Linked DNA regions of Stegostoma tigrinum. The protein of the gene in region 1 interacts with the protein of each later gene in a pairwise test. Links are inferred from orthologs where the notes say so. Each region holds a gene or a part of one and is shown on either strand. Other genes may lie near its edges.

Region 1 (7,137 bases):
GGATTCCGACTGTCAACCCTATCCAAGCACGTCATAATTTTATAGACTTCTATCAAGTCTCCTAACAGCCTCTGCTACTCCAGAAAAAACCCTAGGCTTTCTAGCCTCTCCTTATAGCTCATATCCTCTAATGTAGGCAGCATCCTGGTAAAGTGATAATGGGAACTGCAGATGCTGGAGAATCCAAGATAATAAAATGTGAGGCTGGATGAACACAGCAGGCCCAGCAGCATTTCAGGAGCACATAAGCTGACGTTTTGGGCCTAGACCCTTCATCAGAGACGCTCTGATGAAGGGTCTAGGCCCGAAACGTCAGCTTTTGTGCTCCTGAGATGCTGCTGGGCCTGCTGTGTTCATCCAGCCTCACATTTTATTATCTAGCATCCTGGTAAACCTCTTTTGTGCCCGTTCCAAATCCTCCAAATCCTTCCTGTAATGTGGCAACCAGAATTGAACGCAATACTCTAAGCGCAGCCTAGCTAACGTGTTTATAAAGCTGCTATCACTTCCTGACCCTTGTACCTCAATGCCCCAACCAATAAAGGCAAGCATTTCATGTGCCTCCTTTACCACCCTATTCTCTCCAATAGCTTTCCAAACACTGATGTGAAACTCACTGGTCTGTAATTTCCTGGATTATTCCTATTTCTTTTCCGGAAAAGCGGAATAATATTAGCTACTTGCCAGTCCTCTAGGACCTCTCCAGTGGCTAGCGAGGATATAAAGATCTTAGTCAAGGCCCCAGCAATCTCCTTTCTTGCCTCTCTCAATAACCTGGGGTAGATCCCATCAGGTCCTGGGGACTTAACCAACTTAATCTTCTTCACAGACCCAACACCACTTCTTTCTTGATTTCAAAATGCCCTAGTATATTAGCATGCTCCACACTAGTCTCATTATACTCCATATCCTTCGCCTGGGTGAATACCAATGCAACGTACTCATTTAGGACCTCATCCACAACCTCTGCCTCCAACCATAAGTTCCTTCCTTTATCCTGGTCCTATCCTCTCCCTGGTTATCCCCTTATTTTTTAATGTGTGCATAGAATACCTTGGGAATCTCTTTTATCCTACTTGTTGAGGTCATTTCATGGTTCCTCCTTGCTCTTCTAAATCCCTGTCTGAGATATTTCCTGCTTTCTTCATATTTTGGCTTCATAATCCTTACATATGCTTCTCGCCAACTTTTAGGTACATTTAAGTCGTCATTGGACAAGCGTATGGATGTACATGGAATAGTGTAGGTTAGATGGGCTTGAGATCGGTATGACAGGTCGGCACAACATCGAGGGCCGAAGGGCCTGTACTGTGCTGTAATGTTCTATGTTCTTTCCTTTTTGACTAAATTCACAACTTCCCTCATTATCCAGGGATTCCTTACCTTGCCATCCTTTTCCTTCTTCCTTATGAGGAACATAATCTGCTCAGTGGATCTTGAAACAACTCCCACATAAGAAATGTAGACTTGCCTGGTAACAGTTCCTCCTAATGCACTCTCCCTAGTTTCTGCCTAATACTAACGTAATTTTCCATCCTCCAGTTTAGTAGGTCCTAACTTATTCATGCCGATCTTAAAACATAAGGGGTCGTGATCAATGTTTCCCACTGAAAGGTCATTCATTTGGCCAGGCTCATTAGCTAATACAAGGTCCAGAATGGACCTCCTCTAGTTGGACGTCCATATATTATTTCAAGAAGTTTTCTTTGATGTACCTAACAAATTCAGCTCCATCTAAATCTCTTCCTCTAAGACAGTTGCAGTCAATCCTGGAGAAGTTAAAGTCATCCACTATGACAACTCTGCATCTTTCCCTAATCTGCCTATATGTCTACTGCTCAGTGTCTCGGTGGCTGGGGTTTATAGTATAATCCTATCAGAGTGATCGCACCTGTCTCAGAATCCCTACAGCACGGAAGCAGGCCATTTGACCCAATGGGTCCATCCTGATCCTCCGGAGAGCATTCCATGTAGACCAAACTCCGATAAAGTGGAATCAAGGGTTATGGGGATAAGGCAGGAACAGGATACTGATTGTGGATGATCAGCCATGATCATAATGAATGGTGGTGCTGGCTCAAAGGACCGAATAGCCTACTCCAGCACCTATTGTCTATACCTATCCCTGTAACCCTGCATGTCCCATGGCTAGCCCATCTATCCTGCAGGGATAATAGGAACTGCAGATGGAGAATCCGAGATAATAAGGTGTAGAGAGTTAGGCCCGAAACGTCAGCTTTCCTGCTCGGCCTGCTGTGTTCATCCAGCTCCACACCTTGTTATCTAGCCTGCACATCCCTGAACACTATAGGGCAATTTCCCACGGGTAATCCACCTACCTTGCACATCTTTGGACTGTGGGAGGGAACCGGAGTACCCAGAGGAAACCCATGCAGACACGGGGAGAATTTGCAAACTCCGCACAGACAGTCTCCCGAGGGTGGGATCAAACCTGGGTCCCTGGTGCTGAGAGACAGCAGTACTAACCACTGAGCCACGGTGCACACCTAAGGCCTCCAGTATGCCCTCTCGAGCGTAACTATGAGATTCTCCCTCATTAGTAACACAACTCCTCCACCTTCCTGATTATCTGGTCAAAAACAGCAAAACCCTGTAATGAGAAGCAGCCAGTCCCGTCCCCCCTCTCAGACAAGTCTCTGTAATGGCCACCAGCCCAGCTTTAGTGGGGCATTTACAATGGTGAAACATTGTAGAATGACAGCAAGGGGCACGCCAGGCCCTAGCAGCACCAGCACCGCCCTCACCCCCGCTCTGTCCCTGAGGAGACTGCCAGGCGGTTCCCGCACGGTGGAGAATCCCCTCCCCTCCCCTCCCCGGGCGAGCCCAGTGGGTGTCTGCTGTCTCTCTGTATGCCCCGGTTCATCGCCGGTGTTTATGACAAACACTATCCCTTTCTATTAAACCTATAACAGCCCCTCACTCCCTACCCAGGGGCCGCCACTTTTACCTCAGGCTCCAGCTCCCGGTTTCCGCTTGTTCCGCGTTCGCGCCAAAACCTTAAACAGCGTCACCCACTGACGTCATCACGCTGCAACTCCCACCCCCTCCCAGACCCGCCTCAGGAGGGGCTCGACCACCCGGGGACTGGATCACCGAGCGCGGGGATCACCCGGGGGGGCTGGATCACCGAGCGCGGGGATCACCCGGGGGGCTGGATCGCCGAGCGGGGGGGGGGTCACCCAGGGGACTGGATCGCCGAGAGCAGGGATCACTCGGGGACTGGAACACTGACAACGCGGACCACCCGGGGACTGGATCACCGAGACAGCAGATCATCCAGGGACTGAATAGAGCATTACAGCACAGTACAGGCCCTTCGGCCCTCGATGTTGTGCCGACCTGTCATACTGATCTCAGGCCCATCTAACCTACACTATTCCATGTACGTCCATATGCTTATCCAATGACAACTTAAATGTACCTAAAGTTGGCAAATCTACTACTGTTGCAGGCAAAGCGTTCCATTCCCTTACCACTCTCTGAGTAAAGAAACTACCTCTGACATCTGTCTTATATCTTTCACCCCTCAATTTAAAGCTATGCCCCCTCGAGCTCACTGTCACCATCCTAGGAAAAAGGCTCTCCCTATCCACCCTATCTAACCCTCTGATTCAATGTTTCAATTTAGTTACCTCTCAACCTTCTTTCTAACGAAAACAGCCTCTCCTTGTAAGACGCTCCCTCCATACCAGGCAACATCCTGGTAAATCTCCTCTGCACCCTTTCCAAAGCTTCAACATCCTTCTTTTAATGCGGTGACCAGAACTGTACGCAATACTCCAAGTGCGGCCGCACCAGAGTTTTCATCAGAGAGCTCAGATCACCCAGGTATTGGAATGCTGACAGCACAGATCGCCTAGTGAGTGGATCACTGAAAGAGCAGATTGCCTGGGGTTTGGATCACAGAGACAGTGGGTTGCATGGTGGGTGGATCCACCAATTGAGCAGATTGCTCTGGGGAGTGGAAGCATCGCAAGAGCAGATCACTAAGTGGATCACCCACGGACTGGATCAGAGAGATCAGTTCTCCCAGCGATTGGATTTACCAAGAGACTGGGTCTCCAAGAGTGTGAAACGTTGTGGATCGGTTACCTGATGAGTAGATCAGCCAAGTGAGCAGGTTAACCAGGAATTCGATGGGCTGAAAGTTGACTAGAGAGAGTAAATAGCCTAGGACAGCAGATCAACTTTGGACCAGAACATAAGGAGAGTAGATGACCCAAGCAACAGCATCACCTAGGGACTCGATCACACGAGGCCTATGTTCCGGAGGAGGAAGTGGCTTATCGGGGAGTGAATCGTCAGGAGACTGGGGAAAGCAAATAATCCGTATACTGGATCACCAGGAACATGTTAGACCCTGACTGGATCATCCAGACACAGGATCACTTGGGGCATGGATCAGTCTGGGTTTTGTTTGGACACGGCATCACTAGGGAGTGGATCACATGGGCAGTGGAATGCCTGGAGACTGGATCACCAGGAGAGTGGGTGAATTGTCACCTGATCACCTAGGTTCTCAAACCAGCAGAGTGCAGGTCATTGAGAGTGGATCACACTTTGTTTGAAAACGACATGACATATACTCAAATTACATAATGGAACAGAGGCAGATGATCATACAGAATGGTCACAGAGACGGGTTCAAAGAATAATAGGAACAAAGATATTGGTCCAGAAATTGCAATCAAATTCTGCAAACTACTTGCAACTTCCCGTCCAAACCAGTGACCACATTGACTTGGAAATATATTGTCGATCCTTCAGATCAAAATTCTATGACACCCTCCCTAAGGGCATTGTGGGTCTATCTTCAGCATGTGGATCGCAGTTCACGATGGCAGCTCACCTCCACCTTCTCAAGGAGCAAGTACAAATGGGCAATAGATACTGGCCCAGCCAGCAAGGCTCAGATCCCAGAAGTGAATTTTAAAAATTCAGTATCCCTATTATCGACCTTGATCAGATTAAAAAAAATACAATATAGATTCTAGTCTGCAAATTCCCATACAGGACACTTCTGGTTTCAAAACAATGGAACTCTGATCATTAATGCTTGGAGCCAGCAGAGAGGATTGTTATCAAAACCATGCTCCATTTTCCAATATTCAGTGTTCTGTGACTTAAAACAAACAGCAGCATAGCCAATGCTGTGAATGAGTGAGCACGTAAGCTAAAGGTGGAGAAAGAGAACAGCTACATGGGTCAGGGTTGGGGAGAGGGGAAGAGGAGTTTGGTAAGGTATAGGGTTGGCGGGGGGGGGGGGGGGGCAGCAGGGTAAGGATGGGTAGGATTTCAGGTAACTGGGTGTGTGGAAGGTTTGGGTGAATGGGTCTTGTAGGGAGTGGGACGGAGTTGGACCGAGGGGGATTGTCACGCGGGCCTAGCAGTCAGGCCTGATTTATTTCTGGAGATGAATGGCATCAAGAGATCAGGGAAAGTGGGACTGAGGTGGATTATCAACCATGATTTAACTAAATTATGTAGCATGCTGAATGGCCTCTTGCTATTTGTGATCATATGGAGTAGATCTCACAGATTAGATCATGAGAGACAAGATAGCAGACTGAATCGCAAGGATCATAAACTGGATCATGCTAAATCACAGACACTGGGCCATGTGTGATCATATGGACTGGATCAGAGACTGAATCACAGTAAATCCCAAAATTAATTGTAAAGGATCCCAGACTTGATTTATTAGAGTGGAAGACATAGATCATATAAAGTGGATCCACAACACAGCACAGAAATTTAAACATCAAATCACAGGCTTGCTGTTGCAACTTCTGTCTGTCCTCTTAGCAGTTTAGTTACAGGCACTGAACAGAGATATACTGCATATACAATTAATTGCACCTTCCCTGATGCATGAGCAAAATACCTACACAATTAAGTAGCAAGTGATTGCAATTTGAATAAAAAGTTGACTTTTATACAATATCTTTCTTGACCACAAGACCTTCCTAAAAGACTTACAGCATACAAAGTACTTTTCAAGTGTAGTCACTGTTGCAGGAAACGTAGCTAATTTGCACAAAGAAAGCTCACACAAATAATATGATGAGCAGATCATGTATTTTGACAAAAATAATTGAGTACTTTGGAATTCTTCTTAGTTTAACACAAATTTCTAAATCTGCCACCAAATGTTAGGGAGGAGGAAAATGTTGGATAGTCAGTTTGAGGGGCACTGTCACAAATTTCAGGATACAAATTTGCAGAATAGATATAACTGGAAAATTGGAATTGCTGTGTGCAAAAATTACAAATATTAGAACCTGGCAAGAAAAGTAAGCAGATTGGTTATTGCCTAAAGAACAAGAATCTGAATTGGGTTGATGAGCACGGGGAAGAACAAGTACACAAGTCGCTATAACTGGTAACATAGGACAACAAAGTCATAGGCAAAAAACAAACCAAGCACCAGGATTTATGTATTGAGGGAAGCAACGCACCACAGATGCTAGACATTTGAGACACAACATAAAGGCTGGAGAAACTGAGCAGGAAGCATCTGCGTAGAAAGAAAGAGTTAAAAGGAGCAAGACCAATTATTCCTCTTCGGAACTCTGGAGTGGTGTCCAATACTGGGCTTTCTATATAAAGACATAAAAACAGTGGAGAGGGACAAACCTGAGGGTGAGGAGTGGATGAACAGGCTGGCTAACATTTCTCTTGAGAGAAGCTAAAGAGAGCCCCCATGGAGGTCTTTAAATTATGAGAAGCATTCATAAAGTAGCTGTGAACAGCCTGTTTCTTCTTGAGGGAGAACCTGAGAGAACAGGGAAAACCTGGAGGTCAATACATGAACTTAAAAAGGGAGTCTAGAAGCAAAACTTATACTCTCAGATGTGAGAAGGTGAAACTAACTTCCACAGGGAGTAGCTGAAGTGAATAGTATAGAATTAGATAAGCATGAAGGACAAGGGGAGGATGAATGTTTATGGAATTTGGTGAAGACAGACAAGAGGAAGCTCAAATGGAACAACCAACCAGCAGAGACTAGTTGGGCCAAAGGACCTGTCTTTGTGTTGTCCTCCTAACAGTGACCATTTTGGGGCTGGCAGTGGCTTACTGGTATTATCATTGGACTGTTAATCCAGAGATCCAGGT
Region 2 (7,501 bases), on another chromosome or scaffold:
ATGCAAATCACTACCATCTTCTCCAGGATAATTAAGGATGAGCAATAAATGCTACCTTTGGCAACAAGATTATAAAATGATAAAAACAGTAAAATTTTATAATTCACAAGTTACATTTCAGCTAAAATTCTCTGATTCTGAACTGCACACCCACAGGTAGGATGCCAAGGTCTTGGATAAAATACAAAGATTTATTAGAATAGTACCAACAATAAGACTTCAATTACATAGAGTCTGGAAAAGCTGTTGTCAATATTAGAACCGAGGTTAAGGGGAGATTTGATGGAAGTTTTCAAAACTTCAAGAAGCATTAACAGTTTCTCTTTATTTACAGTACTGGAAGTCAGGCTGAAGATAACTGGTCAAAGAAGATGAAAAGAGACACATTAAACTAATATGAAATTCAATGCTGGAATGAATGGTATCAGGAAATTCAATTACAGCTTTCCAAAGGAAATGGTTTATATACTCAAAAAGGAGAATTACAGAGCTGTTATAAAAAAGCAGGCAGAGACTAACTGGAGCTACTTTCAGAGAGCTGGCAAAAACATACTGTACAATTCTATGTGTACAGCTGGATGAACACAGCAGGCCAAGCGGCATCAGAGGAGCAGGAAGGCTAACATTTCGAACCGAGACCCTTCTTCAGAAATGGGAGAGGGGAAGGGGTTTCTGAAATAAATAGGGAGAGAGGGGGAGGCGGACAGAAGATGGACAGAAGAGAAGATAGGTGGAGAGGACACAGACAGGTCAAAGAGGCGGGGATGGTGCCAGTAAAGGTGAGTGTAGGTGGGGAGGTAGGGAGGAGATAGGTCAGTCCAGGGAGGACGGGCAGGTCAAGGGGGCGGGATGAGGTTAGTAGGTAGGAGATGGGGGTGGGGCTTGATGTGGGAGGAGGGGATGGGGGGGGAGGGACAGGTTAGGGAGGTGGGGATGAGCTGGGCTGGTTTTGGGATGCAGTGGAGAGAGGGGAGATTTTGAAGCTTGTGAAGTCCACATTGATAACATTGGGCTGCAGGGTTCCCAAGCAGAATATGAGGTGCTGTTCCTGCAACCTTCGGGTAGCAATGTTGTGGCACTGCAGGAGGCCCAGGATAGACATGTCGTCTGAGGAATGGGAGGGGGAGTTGAAATGGTTCACGACTGGGAGGTGCAGTTCTTTATTGCGAACTGAGCATAGGTGTTCTGCAAAGTGGTCCCCAAGCCTCTGCTTGGTTTCCCCGATGTAGAGGAGGCCACAACGGGAACAGCGGATGCAGTATAGCACATTAGCAGATGTGCAGGTGAACATCTGCTTGATGTGGAAGGTCTTCTTGGGGCCTGGGGTGGGGGTGGGGAAGGTATAGCACTTCCTGCGGTTGCACGGAAAAGTGTCAGGTGTAATGGGGCTGGAGGGGAGTGTGGAGCAGACAAGGGAGTCATGGAGAGAATTGTCCCTCCTAAAAGTAGAAAAGGGTGGGGAGGGAAAAATGTCTGGTGGTGGGGTCAGATTGCAGATAGCGGAAATGTCAGAGGATGATGCGTTGGATCCAGAGGTTGGTGGAGTGGTACGTGAGGACAAGGGGGATTCTGGTTTGGTTGTTATTGCAGCGACGGGGTGTGAGAGATGAGTTGCGGGAAATGCGGGAGGCATGGTCAAGGGCGTTCTCAACCACTGAAGGGGGGGAAAAATAGCAGTCCTTGAAAAACAAGGACATCTGAGATGTATGGGAGTGGAACGCCTCACCCTGGGAGCAGATGCGGTGGAGGCAAAGGAATTGGGAATAGGGATGGCATTTTTGCAGGAAGGTGGGTGGGAGGAGGTGTATTCTAGGCAGCTGTGAGAGTCAGTGGGCTTGAAACAGATATCAGTTTCTCGGTGGTTGCCAGAGATGGAGACAGAGAGGTCCAGGAAGGAGAGAGGTATTAGAGATTGCCCAGGTGAATTTAAGGTTGGGGTGGCAGGTGACAGCAAAGTGGATGAACTGTTTGAGCTTCTGGTGGGAGCACAAGGCGGCACCAATACAGTCATCAATGTAACAGAGGAAGAGGTGGGGTTTAGCGCCAGTGTAGATCTGTCCGATGAAGGGTCTAGGCCTGAAACATCAGCTTTTGTGCTCCTAAGATGCTGCTTGGCCTGCTGTGTTCATCCAGATCCACACTTTGTTATCTTAGATATGGAAGAGGGTTTGTTCCACGTAATCTACCAAGAGGCAGGCATAGCTTGGGCCCAGTGGGTAACCATGGCCACACCCTTTGTCTGTAGGAAGTGGGAGGAATTGAAGTCGTTGAAGGTGAGGACAAGTTCGGCGAAGCAGATGAGGGCGTTAATGGAGGGCGACTGGTCGGGCCCACGGGACAGGAAGAAGCGGAGGTCCTTTAGGCTATCTATATGGGGCATGCAGGTGTAAAGGGTCTGGACGTCCATATTAAAGATGAGGTGTTGGGGGCCAGGGAATTGGAAGTTCTGGAGGACGTGGGTGGTGTCACGGGCATAGGTAGGGAGTTCCTGGACCAAGGGGAGAAAATGGAGTCGAGATGGGTGGAGATGTGTTCGGTGGGGCAGGAGCAGGTGGAGACAATGGGTCCCCCTACCGCATCCAAAAACCAGCCCAGCTTGTCCCCGCCTCTCAAGCCCCATCTCCTACCTATTAACCTCATCCCACCCCCTCGACCTGGCTGTTCTCCCTGGGCTGACACATCTACTCGCCACCTACACTCACCTTTACTGGCTCCATCCCCACCTCTTTGACCTGTTTTCTCTCCATTCATCTTCTATCTGCCTCTCCCTATTTATTTCAGAACCCCCTCCCCCATTTCTGAAGAAAGGTCTAGGCCCAAAACATCAGCCTTGCTGCTTCTCTGATGCTGCTTGTCCTGCTGTGTTCATCCAGCTCTACAACTTGTTATCTCAGATTCTCCAGCATCTGCAGTTCCTACTATCTCTGTACATTTCTATGCTTACTCACGTATTTGCAGACAACCCATTTCCCAGGCACACTGGGTGCACTAGTGGATTCATCACTAATTCCCGAATTAATGCAAGGCTGAGTGCAGACAGTACGGGCTGGGTAGGTACAAAGCACAACTGAATGCTCTTGTTTCTGTTTTGGCAACACAATCCTTCCTGAGCAGGAAAGAACAATGCAATGAAAATTGATTACTAACACTGAAACCGGTTTACACTGGAAATAAAAAGAAATGGAATTCCACATTCCTCGGCTATTCGACAATTATAGAAAACAATTAAACATACAGTTGAACTCACAGGCAGTCGTCCCATTCAGGGTAAAACGCAATAACGATGCTGCTGGCCCCTGGTCGGCGTCACTGCGGCTCTTCCTGCTCCTGCGAAGAGTAATGTTATCCGTAAGGCCTGTGTATGAGTGTAGGGGGATGTATGCAGGCCTCTGTGTTTGTCGATCTGCGGCCTACAGTGGGTGCACAGTGAAACCACTGACCGGCTGCGGTACATCTGACGGCAGATCCGGTCGCTCCTGACTGTCGCCCCTCACCACTTTTCAATTTTTTTGCTGTTTATTTTTCCTCTGCATCTCTGTCACATTATTTTCTTCTTCACGCTAGACTAGATTATTCATTCACCGATCGCTGTTTTGTTTCTTTTGCGCCTCATGTTTTTTTTTCCATCCCCCTCCCCCAACTCCGCGCCTCTTCAAATCGGCAGGCGACCGTTTGGTCACCCGGGAGACGAGGCAACCAATCGGGAAGCGGGCAGCTCGAATCCCGCCCCCCCACCACAGTGTGGTCACGCCCACTTCCGGTTACAACGTGTGGGGCGCTGCGGGGGACACGGCCCAATCAGCCATCAGGCCCGCTTTTTCGAGTTGACCAATCACAACGTGTTGCTGTTTAGAACGCATCCTCTCCCCGTCCTTCCAGGCCAGAGGAGCTATCGCGATAATTTTAGGCCGTTTCCCATAGCTACGACAATTGATGTGTCCAAGGCTACTAGCGGACGGGAAGGAATACAGTCCCTAACGACGAAGCGCGTGCAGCCCAGCTGGTGAAAGTTATACTGAGACTCAAGATAATAAAATGTGAGGCTGGGTGAACACAGCAGGCCAAGCAGCATCTCAGGAGCACAAAAGCTGACGTTTCGGGCCTAGACCCTTCATCAGAGAGGGGGATGGGGAGAGGGAACTGGAATAAATAGGGAGAGAGGGGGAGGCGGACCGAAGATGGAGAGTAAAGAAGATAGGTGGAGAGGGTGTAGGTGGGGAGGTAGGGAGGGGATAGGTCAGTCCAGGGAAGACGGACAGGTCAAGGAGGTGGGATGAGGTTAGTAGGCAGGAAATGGAGGTGCGGCTTGGGGTGGGAGGAAGGGATGGGTGAGAGGAAGAACAGGTTAGGGAGGCAGAGACAGGTTGGACTGGTTTTGGGATGCAGTGGAGGGAGAGGGGAAGAGCTGGGCTGGTTGTGTGATGCAGTGGGGGGAGGTGACGAACTGGGCTGGTTTTGGGTGCAGTGGGGGAAGGGGAGATTTTGAAACTGGTGAAATCCACATTGATACCAGAGATAATGGGAACTGCAGATGCTGGAGAATTCCAAGATAATAAAATGTGAGGCTGGATGAACACAGCAGGCCAAGCAGCATCTCAGGAGCACAAAAGCTGACGTTTCGGGCCTGGACCCTTCATCAGAGAGGGCTCCTGAGATGCTGCTTGGCCTGCTGTGTTCATCCAGCCTCACATTTTATTATCTTGGAATTCTCCAGCATCTGCAGTTCCCATTATCTCTGATACTGAGACTCAATCCGCTTTGTTACAGGAACTAAATTTCACAAAGACTTAATTTAAAAGGAGGATTTACATTTCCTTAAGCTTACGAAGAGGGTGATGTGTTTTCCTTTTTCCTCCCAGAGAGTCATACTTAAAAGCCAAATGTTTTGTCTCTCCTTTTCCACAGATGCTGCTGAGTTTCTCCAGTATTTTTTTCATGTCCGGTTGTAAATCCATTTCATTACGTTATAATAAAAACAAGGTACTGGCGGATGCTGGAAATCTTAAATAGTTTTAATTCATTCTATGAATAAGTAGTTTCAGAATAAGCGTTCCGATGTAGTCAATATCGGGCTGGAAACGTTACCTCCCTTTTTTTCTCACCACAAATACTTTCAGACCTGCTGAGATTGGCGTTTTTCGTTTTTATTTCAGATCGCCAGCATCCGCCGTATTTTGCTTGTAACCAGTGTTCAGTTGCCAACAGCAATTAATGCGGAGATTCATTACAGAACATTACGACGAGGATGCTGCATATACCTTGGCACACCTGAGTTTTTCAGAGCCTGTTGATGAATACGCTTAGAACCACAATCACTGTAGTAAATCTCCTGACAGAAGGTTAAAACAGATCACAAATCCAAGCGACAAAGGCATTTGGCGGTACTTGTCGTGTATTTCTGCGTCCTATAGACTGGGCAGGCCAAATTCAAGCCCTGTGAGCATGAGCTGTTCTGGAAACAGGCTCTACAATCATCATTGCCTATTTCTCTTTTGTGTCATAATTGTCAGTCAGGTGAGATACCAGAGGTGTGCAGGTACCTGTGTGCATGAATCAGTGCCTTTAGGATAAGAATGAATCAAATGGCAGACAATGGAAAGATTTTAAAAGCTGAAAAATCCTCACTTAAACTTTCCCGAAAACACCAACCTTTTAAATGACCTGCCTCAACAACTTTCTCTGTCAGCCCATTCCATATACACACCACTCTCTGCCCCTCAGGTCCTTCTCAAATCTTTTCCTCTCTCACCTTAAACCTATGCTCTCCAGTTTTCAATTCCTCATCCCTGGGAAAGAGACTACATGCATTCATCCTATCTGTGCCCCTCATGATTTTATATATCTTGATAAGATCACCTGTCATTCTCCGATGTTCCAAGGCCTATCCTGGCCAACTTCTCCCTATCTCTGAGGCCTACTATGGGCGGCATGGTGGCTCAGTGGTTAACACTGCTGCCTCACAGCACCAGTGACCAGGGTTCAACTCCACCCTCGAGTAACTGTCTGTGTGGAGTTTGCACATTCTCCCAGTGTCTGCATGGGTTTCCTCTAGGTGCTCCAGTTTCCTTCCACTGTCCAAAGATGTGTAGAGTAGTTAGACTGGCCAGGCAAAATTCAGGGATGTGTAGATTAGGTGGGTTATAGGGGTGTGGGTCAGGATGGGAGGCTCTGCGGGTTGGTGTGGACTTGTTGAGCCACAGGGCCTGTTTCCACACTAGGTAATTTTATGATTCTATTGTTTCATTACATTCAGAATGATCTGGGGAATGGAAGGTACCTTGTAAATGCAGGCTTCTTCAATCATTTATGTGACAAAAAAAATTGTAGTTTATAAATCATTCAGATCAATCCAAAATTTACTTCAGGTTGCGGTGGCCGAGATATAAAACGTGTGCAGGGCATAAAAGTCCATTGAACTAGAGTTAGTCAAAAATCTTGACACGTATATGCCAGTGGCTTCTCCTGGTGATCGGTGGCAGCAGCAGCTGCAACAAAGCTGATCGGTGGAGCATGTTTCCGGAGGAGACAAGAAAAACTGCAGATGCTGGAATGCAAGGCAGACAGACAGGAGGCTGGAAGAACACAGTAAGCAGGGCAGCATCTACAGGAAAGGCACAGTCAATGTTTCGGGTATTACCCTTACCTCAAGAGTAATACCTGAAACGTCAACTGCTGCTTTCCTCCAAATACTGCCTGGCTTACTGCGTTCTTCTTTCTTCCAGTTTGTCTACCATGTCTCCACAGGAGGTTGACACAGTCTCCAGGCCAGGCCAGGGCTAGGTACAGGAAGATAACACTTTTAAGATCTGGATGTTTTCCTTTTCTTTTATTCTTTCGCTTTTTAAAAAAAATTCTGCTTTTGTATTTTAAGATAGCAACTTTGTAAACTTTCCACTGTACTCCTATATTCCTGTGCTTGATAAAATCTAACTCTAACAATGGTTTGGTGTTAAGGCCTGATCAGAAACTATTCCGATCAAGTTTATTGTTTAAGTTTTAACTGTGAACAAAGGTGAACTTGCGAACTTGTTGAATGAAAGTGATTGCTGTTGCAGCCAGAGATTGGTGTTCACACTTTTACCTAGTTAAGCGCCATAAATTACTTATATTATAATTTCCTGACCTTCAAAAGACATTTAAAAATAAAAGCTGAACTTCAGTGGAAATCTGCCCTCTGTCAGCCCAGAAGAATTGTACATATTTTGTAATACCAATAAATTGCAGGAGGAGTGGGTTTCAGCATTAAATTTCCTATTAACCTGCCTGTTTCCCCGAGAGCCTCTGCAGAGTGAATCATCCACAACACTTCCCATCAGAGACTTGATTTCAAAGTTATTGGAACTGACTTCTATTGTTTTGAAAATATTTATGCATTAAATCTACTGTTGAACTTCTAATTTCTTGTTGTGTGCTTCTACTTATATGTAGTTAATCTGTTTGAATTATTAGCTAAAATTACTCATTTAGCTCGAACACAGCCATTTGGCAATGTGGAATAAAA
Region 3 (7,313 bases), on another chromosome or scaffold:
GAGAGAGCTCAGAGAGTCATAGCAGATTCAGTTACCAAAAGGGGTCATATTGTTACTGTAGATGACAAGAGGGTGAGAGAGGGAGAGAACACAGACATTAATATTTCAGGTAGAAAGAGAGTACAGGAATACAGAAAATATTACCCCAGCCAGAGAAAGAACACAATATTACTGTAGCTGAGAGAGCCGACAAACTGTATTGCTACTGGCAAAGGGAAATATTATAGTCAAGACTACAAAATGTAAAATATTTTTGAAGCTCAGAGTGGAAATAAGTATTAATTTTCATTAATTAATCAATTAATTTATGTGCTACTGATAGAATGAGAGGAGATTCATAGGCAATATCACCAGCAGTTTAATTGAGCTGAATGGCCCGTGCTGCATTTATTATGCCTTTCTAAATAAATAGCAGTAGCGCAGAAGAAGAAAAATAGAGAATGTGAATAAATAGCAATAATGGAGGAGAGAATAAATAAAGAACAAAGAGTAAATTCCATCCTTTTGTGTGTCACATTAAAATTAACTACATTATATAACCTCTACATTCAAAGGAACGTAAATCAAGTTTATGCAACAATTCTTCCTTAATGGTTTAAGCCCTAGAATCAACTATGACAATGTCCTTATATAGAAACTATAATGGAACAGGTATTTAACAGGGTTATAATTACACATCAGGCAAAACATGACACATGGGGAGGGCCAAAGACATAGATGCAAAGGAGATATTAGGAGAGGAGACAAAAGTTTTGTCAAACAGGTAAGTTTAAACAAGCAGAGAAAATTACAGTTGGTGGAATTAATTCCAGAGCTTAGGTGGATGAAGATATGGTTGCAAATGGTCAGACAAAAGGAGTAGGAGATGAACAAGAATTTACAAATGGAGGAGTGTTGTAATCTAAGGGGCCTGTCAGAGATAGAAGGGAGAGGGCACTGAAGGATTCAAATATAAGGGTGAGAATTTCAAAACGGGTGTTTCCATGCTGGGAATCAATGTAGATCAGCAAGCACAGGGTTGTTGGATAAACATTGTGTGTTAAGATACGGGTAGCAAAGTTTTCAATAAGTTTAAGCTTATGAAGGGTGGAAGGTCAGCCAGAAGAACACTGAATAGTGGAGTGTGGGAGTAACAAAAGTATGACTGGAGTTCCAGTAGCAAGTAGTCGACAGCAGGGGTGAAGAAAGATATAATGATGGAGGTGAAAGCAGACAGTCTTTACAATGATGAGCTCATGAATCAAAAACTCAGACCAATAGAAAACAGGAAGCTGAGGGCATAAACAACCTGTGCTCAACTGGATACAGTTGCTGGGGTGTAGAGGGAGTCAATGGCAACGCAACATGGCACATGGGGAGACCCAAGGACATGGGTTTTCCCCAGTGCCTCATTGATAAACAATTCTGGTGAACCTGATCTGTGCCTTCTCCAAAGCCAACACTGCTAGATTCACTGCTAGAAGTTCACTGTTTATATGTGATACTTTCGTAAGTGGAATCCTTCAGTGGAAATTAGCAGAAATTTAAATTTAGAAAATGAAATTCTGACTTTTTGTCAAATTATGGTGAACTGGAAGTATTAAATCACCAGCCACCATAGAAAGGTGACAGCACAGTTAAAGGTCATTCAGCTCATCATGTTTGTTTCTGATTGGTTAGTTACTAACATTGACATTCTCAAACACTGTATAGCCAGTTGCGTGGTGCCTCACCTTATTTTTTGTAGCAAAAGTTTGCCTTTAAAAAGTTGTTGCAGCAACTGTGGTAATGTTATTGTTCCATCACCTGTTAATATCACCACACTCGCTATTTATTTCAAATGAATAGTTTCTGGCATTTAAACTTACACGAGTGTTGATAAATTCATAACCAAACTCAAAATGTCCCAAATAAAAGCCAAAAAAACACTGCAGATACTATAAATCAGAAACAAAAAAAATGTTGCTGGAAAAGCTCAGCAAGTCTGGCAGCATCTGTGAAGAGAAATCAGACTATTCATTTTGGATCCAGTGACACTTCTTCAGAACTGATGATAGCTAGGAAATGTCAGTTTATATGCGGAAGATGGGGTGCAGGGGTGTGGTGTGGGTATGGAGTAAACAATATGTTGGGCTACAACCCAAAGAGAGAAGAACAGGTCAAACAGACAAAGGAGTGGATAACGAGCTGGCTAGGAGGTTGAATAGCTATGAAGGGACACTGTTAATAGCTAAACAATAGGTAGCGTGCAATGGCAAACAAATGATGAAGGGTCTAGGCCCGAAACGTCAGTTTTTGTGCTCCTGAGATGCTGCTTGGCCTGCTGTGTTCATCCAGCCTCACATTTCATTATCTTGGATTCTCCAGCATCTGCAGTTCCCATTATCTATGTGACAACAAGGCCTGACATGTGAGGTGGGGGTCTAGGACAGTGGAGAGTTCAGGCCTTTAAATTATTGAACTCCATATTGAGTCCAGAGGGCTGGAGGGTTCCCAAGCAGGAAATGAGGTGTTGTTCTTGTAGCTTGCACTGAGCTTCACTGGAACACTGCAGCAAGCCTGAGACAGAGATGGTGGCCAGGGGACAGGGTGGTGCGCTAAAGTGGCAGCCAACTGGATGCTCAGGGTCTATTTTTTGTGGGACAGAAGACGATGTTCTGAAAAGCAAAGCAGTCAAATGCTTCATTTCCCCAATGTAGAGGGGGAACCACATTGCGAGTAGTGAATACCGTAGACTAGCTTGTGAGAAGTGAAAAATATCCCGCGGGGTGGGGGGGGGGGGCGGTGTTCGAGGAAATGAGACGACTAAAAGTAAATGCAGAATAATTTTAAAATGAAAGGGACTGGTGTGTGAGTATATCATGTACAGAAACTGCAGGTGCCAGAATCCAGCAGTTCACTCCACTGGGCAAATGTAACGTATGAAATGCTTATGACTTTTCATCAGCGACACTAAAGTACTTACCCTGCTCTCAACATCGATCGCCAGCCTCAAGAAAGCTGCACTTTGTACCGAACCTGAGGCTCGGTTTCGTGGCATCAGATGGTTCTTGTTAACAGTTGCATCAGGGCGCTGAAAGATCCTGCAGGAAGCGGGAATCAAGATGACACCAGCTGAAAAGCTTGCAGGATCTGGGTGTGAACAACCCCCAGTGAACAGGCGTCAAAGAGCTGCCCAGCGGGGGCTCAACTGAACTACCCAACACCTTAAACACTGAGACTATCTTATTAACTTGCTCGGGGGCTCTTAATAATGATGGAGAGATTATAAATGTATAGAACGTGTTTGATCATCTGTTATCAGCCATTGGAGTGTATTTGAATGCACTGTTTTTACACGCAGCCCATTCATTGTGTTCAGCAAGCTCACGATAAAAATTAAAATATATTAAAAACTATTAAAGAAAGTTATAAAATAAAATGTGAATTGTTTGCTTTTCATAGTCACCAACCATGGTTTATACAAGCTGCGATAATTTAACGGTATTTCCGGAACCCCACATTTCTTTGTTTCATAATTACACCGTTGTTAGTGTGTGAGGTTAAATCCCTGGATTGTGTTCAGTGAAAGGGTTTACCCACAGATATTGTTCAAACTTGACACCTGATTAATGCTTCGCCGGCACTGCATCCTCAACGCAACGGATCCAGGAATTTTAATCAGGTATAGCCCATCACCCGAGTTTTAGCTTATACTCAATCCCCAAAATTTACAGTAACTGAAATTAAAGGGAAATGACAGAGGTATTCTTCCTGCCAAAAATGGAAAATCTCAATTCACCAAATCACGCTCTTGCACCATCAGGCACGACTGAGGAGAGCGCCTAAGGCCATTCGGTCCCTCGAGACTCGTCTATCATCAGTCATGCAGCGCGGAGGCAGACCTTGGGTTATGCCTAATATAATCCCAAACGAAAGCAGTCCCAATTGTCTGCTCCTGGCACATATCCCTCCAAACCTTTCCTATTCATGACCTTATCTAAGGGTCTTTTAAAGGCTGTAACTCCCACGTCCGCCACTTTCTGAGGAAGTTCACTCCACACGAACCACCCTCTATGTAAAAAAAATGCCGATGGTGTCTTTTTAAAATCTCTCTCCTCACGCCTTGAAAATATAGCTCCTAGAATTGAAATCTCCCATTCTAGTGAAAAGACATCTACCATTAATCCCTACCTATATCTCTCATGATTTTATACACTTCTATGAAGGTCACATCTCAACCTCCCACACTCCAGCAAAAACAGACTCAGCCTATCCAGCTTTTCTTTTTAACTCCAGCCTTCCATACCCGGCATCATCTTGGTAAATTTCTTCTGAACTCTCTCGAACTTGAAAATACCCTTCCTATAACTACAGCACACTGTACTTCAGGACAGGCCTCATCAATGTCCTGTGCAGCCTCCACATGACTTCCAAATTCCTACACCCAATGGACTGAGCAATGAAGACAAGTGTGCTAAATGCCTTTCTAGATACTGGTCTGCCTTCAAAGAACTATGTACATGAACCCCTTTGTCTTTCCGTTCCACAACATTACCCAAGGCCCTACCATTAATTGTATTAGTGCTGCCCCTATTTGTTGTACCAAAGTACAATACCTCACATTTATCCACATTGAACTGCATCTGTCATTTTTCAGCGCATTGACATATTTGATCAAGATCCCTCCGTAATCTTAGAAAAACTTCTTTACTCTTTGCTCTGCTGCAAATTTTGGTGTCATCCACAAACTTACTAATCATGCCTTCCAAATTCTCATCTGCATTGTTTATAGAAACGTCAAACAAAAGATCATGGCTACTCTGCTTGTAACCTCAAGTCCATAAGACATAGGAGTGGAAGTAAGGCCATTCGGCCCATCGAGTCACTCCGCTATTTAAATCATGGCTGATGGGCAATTATACGCCACTTCCCTGCACTCTCCCCGTAGCCCTTGATTCCTTGTGAGATCAAGAATTTATCGATCTCTGCCTTGAAGGTATCTAACATCCCAGCCTCCACTGCGCTTGGTGGCAATGAATTCCACAAGCCCACCACTCTCTGGCTGAAGAAATGTCTCCTCATTTCCGTTCTAAATTTACCCCCTCTAATTCTAAGGCTGTGCCCACGGGTCCTAGTCTCCCCACCTAACAGAAACAACTTCCTAACATCCACCCCTTCTAAGCCATACATTATCTTGTAAGTTTCTATTAGATCTCCCCTCAAGCTTCTAAACTCGAATGAATACAATCTCAAGTCCACTTTCCCCTCTCCTTCTTTGAGTCACTTGTCAATCAAGGTCTAATGTATCACAGGCCTTAAAAATGTTAAATGAATTAATCTGAATAGTTCCAGAGAAGTAGTGGAAAGGATAGCAAAGATGATTCTCGATAGGAGCGAGAGAGATAGGGTAGTTGTCATGGGGGACTTCAACTTTCCAAATATTGACTGGGAACATGATAGTTGGAATACTATAGATGAGTCAGTTTTTGTCCAGTGCATGCAGGAGGGATTCCTGACACAGTATGTAGACAGGCCAACAAGGGGCGAAGCCACATTAGATTTGGTACTGGGTAATGAGCCTGGCCAGGTGTAAGATTTGGAAGTGGGTGAGCACTTTGGTGATAGCGATCACAATTCTGTTATGTTTACTTTAGTGATGGAAAGGGATAGGTGTATACCACTGGGCAAGAGTTATAGCTGGGGGAAAGGCAATTACGATGAGATTAGGCAAGATTTAGGGAGCATAGGATGGGGAAGGAAACTGCAGGGGATGGGCACATTAGAAGTGTGGAGCTTATTCAAGGAAAAGCTCCTGTGTATCCTAGATAAGTATGTACCTGTCAGGCAGAGAGGAAGCTGTAGAGCACAGGCGCCGTGGTTTACGAAGGAGGTGGAATCTCTGGTCAAGAGGAAGAAGAAAGCTTATGATAGGATGAGATGTGAAGGCTCAGTTAGGGTGCTTGAGGGCTACGAGGTACTCAGGAAAGACCTAAAGAGGGAGCTCAGAAGAGCCAGGAGGAGACATGAGAAGTTGTTGGCAGATAGGATCAGGGTAAACCTTAAGGCTTTCTATAGGTATTTCAGGAATAAAAGAATGACGAGAGTAAGATTAGGGCCAATCAAGGATAGTGGTGGTAAGTTGTGTGTGGAGTCAGAAGAGATAGGGGAAGCACTAAATGAATATTTTTCAACAGTATTCACTCTAGAAAACGACAATGTTGTTGAGGAGAATACTGAGATACAGGCTACTAGACTAGGTGGGATTGAGGTTCACAAGGAAGAGGTATTAGAAATCTTACAGAGGATGAAGATAGATAAGTCACCTGGGCTGGATGGGATTTATCCTAGGATCCTCTGGGAAGCCAGGGAGGAGATTGCCGAGCCTTTGACATTGATCTTTAACTCGTCATTGTCTACAGGAATAGTGCCAGATGACTGGAGCATAGCAAATGTGGTTCCCCTGTTCAAGAAGGGGAGTAGAGACAACCCTGGTAATTATAGACCAATGAGCCTTACCTCAGTTGTCGGTAAAGTGTTGGAAAAGGTTATAAAGGATAGGATTAATAATCATCTAGAAAAGAATAAACGGATTAGGGATAGTCAGCACGGTTTGTGAAGGGAAGGTCGTGCCTCACAAACCTTATTGAGTTCTTTGAGAAGGTGACCAAAAAGGTAGATGAGAGTAAACCGGTTGATATGGTGTATATGGATTTCAGCAAGGCGTTCGATAAGGTTCCCCACAGTAGGCTATTGTACAAAATGCGGAGGAATGGAATTGTGGGAGAAATAGCAGTTTGGATTGGAAATTGCCTTGCTGAAAGAAGACAGAGGGTGGTAGTTGATGGGGAAATGTTCAACCTGGAGACCAGTTACTTGTGGTGTACCGCAAGGGTCGGTGTTGGGTCCACTGCTGTTTGTCATTTTTATAAATGACATGGATGAGGGCGTAGAAGGATGGGTTAGTAAATTTGCAGATGACACTAAGGTTGGTGAGGTTGTGGATAGTGACGAAGGATGCTGTAGGTTGCAGAGAGACAGAGATAAGCTGCAGAGCTGTGCTGAGAGGTGGCAAATGGAGTTTAATGCGGACAAGTGTGAGGTGATGTACTTTGGTAGGAGTAACCGGATCCAAAGTACTGGGCTAATGGGAAGATTATTGGTAGTGTAGAAGAGCAGAGATATCTCGGCGTCCAAGTACACAGATCCTTGAAAGTTGCCACCCAGGTTGACAGGGCTGTTAAGAAGGCATACAGTGTTTTAGCTTCTATTAATAGAGGGATCGAGTTCCGGAATCAAGAGGTTATGGTGAAGCTGTACAAAACTCTGGTGCGGCCGCACTTGGAGTATTGTGT

The links. The genes of interacting proteins can lie anywhere in the genome.
Region 2: the proteins of mcm10 (region 1) and trim37 interact in a two-hybrid assay, tested with the Homo sapiens proteins (2 studies listed by BioGRID and IntAct). The link is inferred for Stegostoma tigrinum from reciprocal best matches to the Homo sapiens genes MCM10 and TRIM37.
Region 3: the proteins of mcm10 (region 1) and cep72 interact in a two-hybrid assay, tested with the Homo sapiens proteins (2 studies listed by BioGRID and IntAct). The two-hybrid records come from large-scale screens. The link is inferred for Stegostoma tigrinum from reciprocal best matches to the Homo sapiens genes MCM10 and CEP72.

Annotation. Positions count from the first base shown.
Region 1 is NC_081378.1:4,828,601-4,835,737, forward strand, and holds the start of mcm10 (protein MCM10 homolog), read right to left. Parts: upstream 3,030-7,137; 5' UTR 2,969-3,029; intron 1,721-2,968; exon of another isoform or gene 1,384-1,720; intron 1,075-1,383; exon of another isoform or gene 1,054-1,074; intron 1-1,053. UniProt on the Homo sapiens protein: Acts as a replication initiation factor that brings together the MCM2-7 helicase and the DNA polymerase alpha/primase complex in order to initiate DNA replication. Additionally, plays a role in preventing DNA damage during replication.
Region 2 is NC_081380.1:41,718,668-41,726,168, reverse strand, and holds the start of trim37 (E3 ubiquitin-protein ligase TRIM37), read right to left. Parts: upstream 3,048-7,501; 5' UTR 2,968-3,047; coding exon 2,949-2,967; intron 1-2,948. UniProt on the Homo sapiens protein: E3 ubiquitin-protein ligase required to prevent centriole reduplication. Probably acts by ubiquitinating positive regulators of centriole reduplication.
Region 3 is NC_081355.1:19,602,324-19,609,636, reverse strand, and holds the start of cep72 (centrosomal protein of 72 kDa), read right to left. Parts: upstream 3,048-7,313; 5' UTR 2,945-3,047; intron 1-2,944. UniProt on the Homo sapiens protein: Involved in the recruitment of key centrosomal proteins to the centrosome.